2 linked regions of the Kluyveromyces lactis genome follow. The protein of the gene in region 2 interacts with the protein of the main gene of each other region in a biochemical or structural test. Links are inferred from orthologs where the notes say so. Each region holds a gene or a part of one and is shown on either strand. Other genes may lie near its edges.

What was found.
Region 1: the proteins of CHS2 (region 2) and INN1 form a complex in vitro, tested with the Saccharomyces cerevisiae proteins (2 studies listed by BioGRID). The link is inferred for Kluyveromyces lactis from reciprocal best matches to the Saccharomyces cerevisiae genes CHS2 and INN1.

The regions. Positions count from the first base shown.
Region 1 is NC_006037.1:996,942-1,000,102, reverse strand, and holds INN1 (Inn1p), read left to right. Parts: upstream 1-1,479; coding exon 1,480-2,646; downstream 2,647-3,161. Other genes in the region: THO2 (Tho2p), read left to right, coding at 1-1,215; KLLA0_A11550g (uncharacterized protein), read left to right, coding at 2,952-3,161. UniProt on the Saccharomyces cerevisiae protein: Required for the ingression of the plasma membrane into the bud neck at the end of cytokinesis, leading to the separation of the mother and daughter cells. Stimulates the synthesis of the primary septum (PS) by CHS2.
Region 2 is NC_006040.1:307,385-311,880, forward strand, and holds CHS2 (chitin synthase CHS2), read right to left. Parts: upstream 2,810-4,496; coding exon 53-2,809; downstream 1-52. Other genes in the region: OLA1 (Obg-like ATPase), read left to right, coding at 3,806-4,496.

The sequences.
Region 1 (3,161 bases), on a different chromosome or scaffold from region 2:
TTTTTAAATGCTATAAGCGAAATCTTCCCTGTCGTTGATGAACATTTGGAATTGGTTTTAGACACTTTGGATCATTTAATTGAACACGAGCAAAGGGAGGATATCATTTTGCCATCAAACGCTTTGAAAGGACACTTAAAGGCTAGACTTAAGAACGCCTCTAAGACATCGGATTTCCGTGAAGTTTCAGCGGAAGAACAGCAACAACTGCAAGACGAGATGAATCTCATCAAAAGGTACCAAGATATGAAGGAAGCTGCAAAAGCAGAGCAAAGTAGAAAGGAAGAAGCAGAATTGAAAGAAAAGGAAAGGGAAAAGGCAAAACAACAGGATGCTGAGAACGGTGCTGCAACATCTTCACTTACCGCACCATCCATGTCGTCCATATCCAACAATTCTCCATCTCCATCGCAAGTCATGGATGGCTTTTATAAGATCGAGAAGTACATTAAGGATGCTGAGTACACCAGAGCCATTCCCTTGATATACGATTCTAACACTCAGAGTGATTTTAGAAAATTGATAAAAGCTCCAGGCAACATCTCTGGATTTAGAAACAAATTGAAGATATTGTTCGAGGACTATTACCACCGAGTCACTAGTAATCCACCTGATCACTACAGATCTGTCTTTGAAAATTTTATTCAAAGATGCAAATCTGCTCCTTTGCCTCAAACCAAGACACCTGGAAGTATGTATGAAGATGAAGTAGTACCTGTTAAACCTTCATCGAAGTACAGTGGTGAAAGATGGAACTCCAACACTTCCAGTAACCGTCCAATACCTAGTGAACCAAGAAAGGCAGCTTCTTCTCGTTATCAACATGGTATAGCCTCAACAACTCTGCCAAGAGCACCAGCCAACGCGTCTAAGCCTCCGGATACTTCCTCAAGACCATCTGGTCCTGCAAGCTCAGGTTCATCTAGCAGATTCCAAAACACATTACCATCTGGCCCAAGAAAAGATTCGTCTAGCAACAGAAGTATCAGCAATTCAAACACATCACAGCTTCCTAGCAGACCATTCAATCAAGGGAAGAAATTCGTTAATACTCCCTCCGAACCACGAAAGAGGCAATCTGATGAATCTTACCAAAGTTCAAGCAGATTCTCAAACGTTAAAAAGCCTAAGTTGAACGATCGTTCTACAAATAACCAATCGCCATTACCATCTGGTCCAAAAAGACAATCTGGAGGATCGAGATATTCGAGGTGAATAAAAATACTTAACTCGACACTTAGTTAAATAGCATAGCATAATATATGCTACCAATTATCTTCGATTTTGTACGGTCTTTCCCTGAGACTCTGATGCTTCTTACCACGTAAAACTGTCAATATGAAAAATGTTGAAAAACATAGACCTATGTAAATATAAGATTGAATCAAGCTAAACTACATATTTACAGTTTGAATAGAGCTTCTTTATGGGTCAATAAGCACTGTTAACACCTTTCAATCGATATAGGCATTAAGTGTAATGAGCAATAACGTGATAACCGGAGCAAATGGTCGATTAGATGTTTATGTGAGTAAAGCGAAGGACCTTCCAAATCTAAGAAAGTTAGACAAGCAAGATCCTTTCGTCAAGTTAAGAGTAGCTCATCTTACGGAGATATCTCCAGTGATATACAGAGGCGGCCAAACTCCAAAATTTGATTACCATTGTGTTTTTCAACTAACGCCCGATATCAAGCCTCTACTCTGCGTTGAACTGTACGATGACCATGATCACAAACATGGTTCGAAGCTCATTGGGAAGTGCGATGTTGATCTTTTGCCTGCATTACTAAGTGACCCTGAAGAAGGCCATGATAGGTGGTATCATCTGAAGAGGGGTCCTTTGGAAGCTGGTAAGGTGTATATTGAATTGACTTTTGTTCCAAATAACATTAGCGAAGACAGACGCGACAATGTTCCAAAAATAAGTTCCAGTGTACAGTCCAGGTCAGTACCACCACTACCGTCAGATCCACCGGAGTTACATGCACAATATGAACTGCAGACATCGGCAAGTGAGCAGCGGTTCGTTGCTTCCGCATCCCCAGGCCAATACGTTCACGGCTCTCATATAAAATCTCCACTTCCTGATCTACCTATAAACCTCGATACTTCTAGATCATCACACGCTTCAAGTGAAAGAATAGATTTTGATTCATCGATGGGGTCTAATGCTACAGCAAATACCTATCATTCGCAACAAAGCCAATCTACTGATGGGCTGATGGACAAGTTAAAGCTGATCAAAGAAAAATTGAATTATTTCAAGAACGGCTCCTCGGTACCATCTACAGAGAGTATCACCAACACTGCGATGGATTTGGAAGTCTTACAGAAAGTGGTAGGTGGCGGTCTCGAGAGTAGCTCAAGCTCAAGAATACCAACGAACATTGACGAGCCATCGCCTATGAATCACCTTCCTACAAAATCGTTTGTTGAACCGCCATTACCACCTCTTCCGACTACGCCTTCAAGACTATCCAGCCAATCTTCAGTGAGACATTCAGCCGGACAAAAATATCCGTTAAAATCTCCTGTGAGACAACCTACTACTCCAAGGCTACCGAACTTGCCAAATTCTTTTTCTTCGCCTTCTTCAAGATCAGGCTCGGTTTCTCCAACAAGGAGGAGACCACCACCATTATAAATGACTTATTAGAACTACATAATCATTGATAGGATAGACAGTTAAAAGTTTTTCTATCACTACTCATATTAGATGTTCCTCTTATCTTCTCGAAGCCTTGGAATCTAAAATGGTTTCAATCGTTGCACCTTGAATTCTGTCAATGCTAAGCCTTTTTGCATGATTATTCAACCAAAGGGTCCTAAGATGAGAAAAGAATATATAAAGAAAGAACTTTAAAGTAATCGCACAAGAATACTCGAAAGAAGACTCTGCTGTATTATGTTTGATACTATTCGAATTAGGAACCTCACTGCAGTGGATTAATGATACGACAAGATGGTAAATTGATAATTCTGCCCAGTAAAATAACTGTCGGAAAACAGCTTGAAGTTGGAACATACTTCATGTTAAAACTGGGTCAAAATGCAATACGATTCAATTCCATTAGGGGAAACTTAGAACTTAATGTTAGAGCTGCAGACTGGGATACTAATATGGAGTTCATTATATTTAGGCGAAGGCCACGATTGAAG
Region 2 (4,496 bases):
ACTATGTTTTGATTGTCTATTTATCTTCCATAAGATATGCTACTGTGTGGATTCATTTCTCTCCAACAGAGAGAATGTTTCCAACACTTGGTAAGTTTAATGAACCGCTATCTTCGGCCTTGTGCTTCCAGCTGATCAGTAAACGTAAATATTTCATCAACAAAAAGATTATTGATCCTGTAGCTCTGAAAGCCGCTAATGCTGCAACGGACCATAAAATGAATTTCAAGTAAATATTATTGACCGTTTCCTCAGGTTCATAGATCTGTGTAATGATCATCATCAAAATCAAATTAGATAACATCCAAACCATAACTATCCTGGTTCTGATATCCCGGTAATAGTCATTTTGCTTCTGCGTTAAGTCGACCTTTTCTTCAACCATCTCCTTCTCTTTTAACCTAGATTTCAGTTCTTGGTATTTATTATCAATATCTTGAGGCCATTGATCAGTGACAATTGTGATACCATCAGGACCTTGAATAACCTCTGCACTAGGAATTGGTTTAGCTGCTTCCGTGGAACCCTTGGTACCCCAAGAAACATCATGGGTATTACAGAATGCGAAAATTTGTAACGTACAAATGAAACTTGGTAACATTAACAGATATTGCACCGAAGAGGTGAAAATGTGCCATGGATCTAAGTACAACAAGGAAGTGAAAGCGTATAAACCATAAGTTGATAGTAAAGAGACAACAATGTTCACAAATACCGAATGTTCCTCTGTTCCATCGTCTAATGTTTTGATGGCAAAAACTAACCCACAAACCAAAGCATAAGTCGAACAAATTGTCAACATGACCATTGAAGAAATGAAAAGATGATTTGCACCTTGTGGTCTGTTACCCATAGAAATAATGAACAAAGCACAGAGGTTACAAATCAGAAGGTATTTGAAAAATGTGAAGAGTACATCCCCATGGGGAATAATAGAATTCATGGACCCTGCCAAGTAATAGAAAGTCAGGAAGAAGTTAGAAATAGAGAACCACGAGAAAATCATTTGAACTAGTTGATATAAGAATTCGATGTGGAAAAAGAATTTTCTAGTTGTCGAATGTCTTGTTTTCCAAATCTGATGGAAATGTATTTGCGCGTATAATGCTGAAAACATAGCACCATTCAACCAACGTCTTCTTTGAGAAATAAATTCTGGAGGTTCTTCTGGAACATCTGTCTCACCAGTTGCTTCTTTCACATATTTAAGAACCCATGCTTCATCCCTTTTAGCAACTAATTCCCAACATAGAATTCTATCTTCTGCCAAATACATATTGGCTGTGAAAACATCGTGATCTCTACCTTCTTGTGTTTCACCTAGGAAATATGAATGCAGTGGACCTGTACCATCATCATTGTTTTTTAATGCTCTGTAACGGTATGCTGAGAGCGCACCAGGAAGCACAGTGATATAACCGAAAACACTTTCTAATGGCTTATCAAGTATATTGGACATCTTATACTCGAAATTTTGGGCAGCAACTAGAGGATTTAATAATTTCATATCAAATTTTCCCTTCATGGTCTTAATCTGGCCAGCAGCACCGGCGACATTGGAATCCATATCGAACACCTTCCACAAGTGATAAACGGCGGTACTATTCAATTTCGTGCCTACATCCACTAATGTAACAACAGTTGGATCCAAGATGGGACAGAAAGCATTGAACAACCAACGATGAGAGTTGATTTTCTTCTGATTTTCTTCTTTCAAACAGAAAACCATTTGGCAAGGTACCGTGCCTTCACTTCTATAGTTTAATTCCTCATCAATAGACACCTGTGTAGTAAGCTCGAAAATATGCGCTTTCACTGGTTCACCATTAACGGTCGATTTAGCCATATCCTCTTGATATACACCGATAGCTGCCAAGTAGTCCAAGGAACCTTGGTTTATTCTAGATCTACCATCGCTGATAATGATAATTTGAACAGTTTTCCAGCCGGTTGGTCCCCAGACGTTAGATTTGTGACGTTTGCACAGATGGGCGACGTTCTTTTGAATGGAGTGTAACGTCCTAGCTAAAGCGAATTTGTCTTCGTTATACATTGTGACACAAATTGTAATTTGACATTCTCTATTCATTTCTGCCATTCTCAAATTATAACCGTCCTCAACAAACGTGTCAGGATCACTGGTACAAGCCGTATATCTCATTTCGGTAAATTCCGGAGAATCTCTTTTTGGAATAATATCTCTCAATCCACTTGGGATTGGGTTGTCGAGCTTCAAGATTCTTCTTTGCTTAAAAGCTGGAGGATGTCTTCTCACCTCAGATAATCCACGCTTCTTGTAAGTTTGTGTCTTTGGATGATTCAATTCAAATTTCGTCTCGCCGAAAGTATCACCTGAGTAAACCGTACTTTCTCCGCTGATTTTTCTGCTATCATACGTGTATTCTGTCTCATTTGAGGTTAGTCTTTGGAATAAAGGACCTGGTTTAGTAGGACTGTTGGTGTATATGTCATACAAACTCTCACCATCATTGCTTTCAACGTCAATGAGTGCATGATTCATTCTTCTTGGAGATTCTTGCAAATTGGCTTGGTACCTGTTTCGTGGCAGTGGGGAATTGTGCACACTATCGATAAGGGTATTATTCATTTTCTGAGGTGAGTATCTGGCAGCAGCTTTTGAAGGTGATGATGGATTACTATCAACTGCTGGAAAACCTTGAAAACGACTGGCATCATCATCGTATGAAACAGCACTGTAACTATACTGACTAGCTCTCATAGCAGCCCGTTGTGGAGAACGTATCACTGGAGGCTCTTCATCCTCTGCCATGAATGGATTCCTTGTCATATTGGAAAGGCAAAGGGCAACTTCTAGAGAGTGTATCTGCCGAATAAGGCTAAGATAAGGGATTGGATAATGTGATTAACTGGGTGTGTTCACAACAATAAAAATATTGACAGCTTCTGAGAACTTGTAAGAGAAAGAAGTATTAACTGCTCATTAAAATATTATTTTCTAAGCTCAAGAAATACGGTATTTCTATTCGAGGAAGATTCTATTCTTGGGTTGAAACGATGCATAAGGACTGTATTGATTTCAATGTTTTTACAATTCCTAATTGGGAAGATATGTAAACAAAAGGGCAATGAGGTAAGATCTCCAGCTTAGTATACTAGAATATAGTCCCAAACACATCATGGCGTTGCAATAGCGGTAACTGTCATTGGGAATCTACAAACCGCTGTTGTGTATGTACAGGTAATTCTAACAAAACGAATCTATCAAGGTGATACCCAAAGTGCGGATAATTCATAATATATAGGTCTATAAATATAACAATTCAACAAAATAGGACACTATAGTCTAGTGGTTTAGGATACTCCCCTTCCATTAATAGCGTAACTACCAGAAATGGTAAGTGCCAGGCGAGGGAGTGACACGGGTTCGAATCCCGTTAGTGTCATATTTTTTAAGTTTTTTTTTTACCTTTTTCCCTCTTCCTTTATCAAGAACAGGAACAACCAAAAAAAGTTGTCACATGATTTCCGTATATAGCGACAGCTGAAATTTTTTTCGTCATTTTTTCGAGCGCCTGTTCCTCATCTAATTGAAGAAAAAGTTGAAGATGAAGTTTTCCTGCTACAGTCAAGTTTCAAAAGAGCCTTTCATCAAGAGAAATAGAAGGGAGGTTTGAATTTTAGTCGATCGTCTGAAACTAATTTTAATTGCACTATTATCTTATCTGGAAGTTTTAAGACATTCTACTTCATCTGTTTGTCAATTTCTCTTAGTGTATCTCAAACAAACCAGGTAAAAAGAATTAATTAGTATAACACTAGTAACATGCCACCAAAGAAGCAAGTAGAGGAAAAGAAGGTTCTATTAGGCCGTCCAGGTAATAACTTGAAGGCAGGTATCGTTGGTTTAGCTAACGTTGGTAAATCTACTTTTTTCCAAGCCATTACTAGATGTCCATTGGGTAACCCAGCTAACTACCCATTCGCAACCATTGATCCAGAAGAAGCTAGAGTCATTGTTCCATCTCCAAGATTCGATACTCTAAGTGAAATTTACAAGCCAGCTTCCAAAGTTCCAGCTCATTTGACTGTTTACGATATTGCTGGTTTGACTAAGGGTGCTTCTGCTGGTGAAGGTCTAGGTAATGCCTTTTTGTCCCATATCAGATCTGTCGATTCCATCTACCAAGTGGTCCGTTGTTTCGATGATGCTGAAATTATTCATATTGAAGGTGATGTTGATCCAGTTCGTGATTTGGATATCATCAACACTGAATTGAGATTGAAGGATATTGAATTCTCTGAAAAGCACTTGGAAAGTATTGAAAAAATTACCAGAAGAGGTGGTCAATCTTTGGAAGTTAAACAAAAGAAGGAAGAAGCCGAATTGGTTACTAAGATCATTGAACTTTTGAAATCCGGTCAAAGAGTCGCTAATCAATCTTGGTCTACTAAGGAGGTCGAAATTATCAACTCTATGTTCTTGTTGACAGCAAAACCTTCTATTTATTTGATTA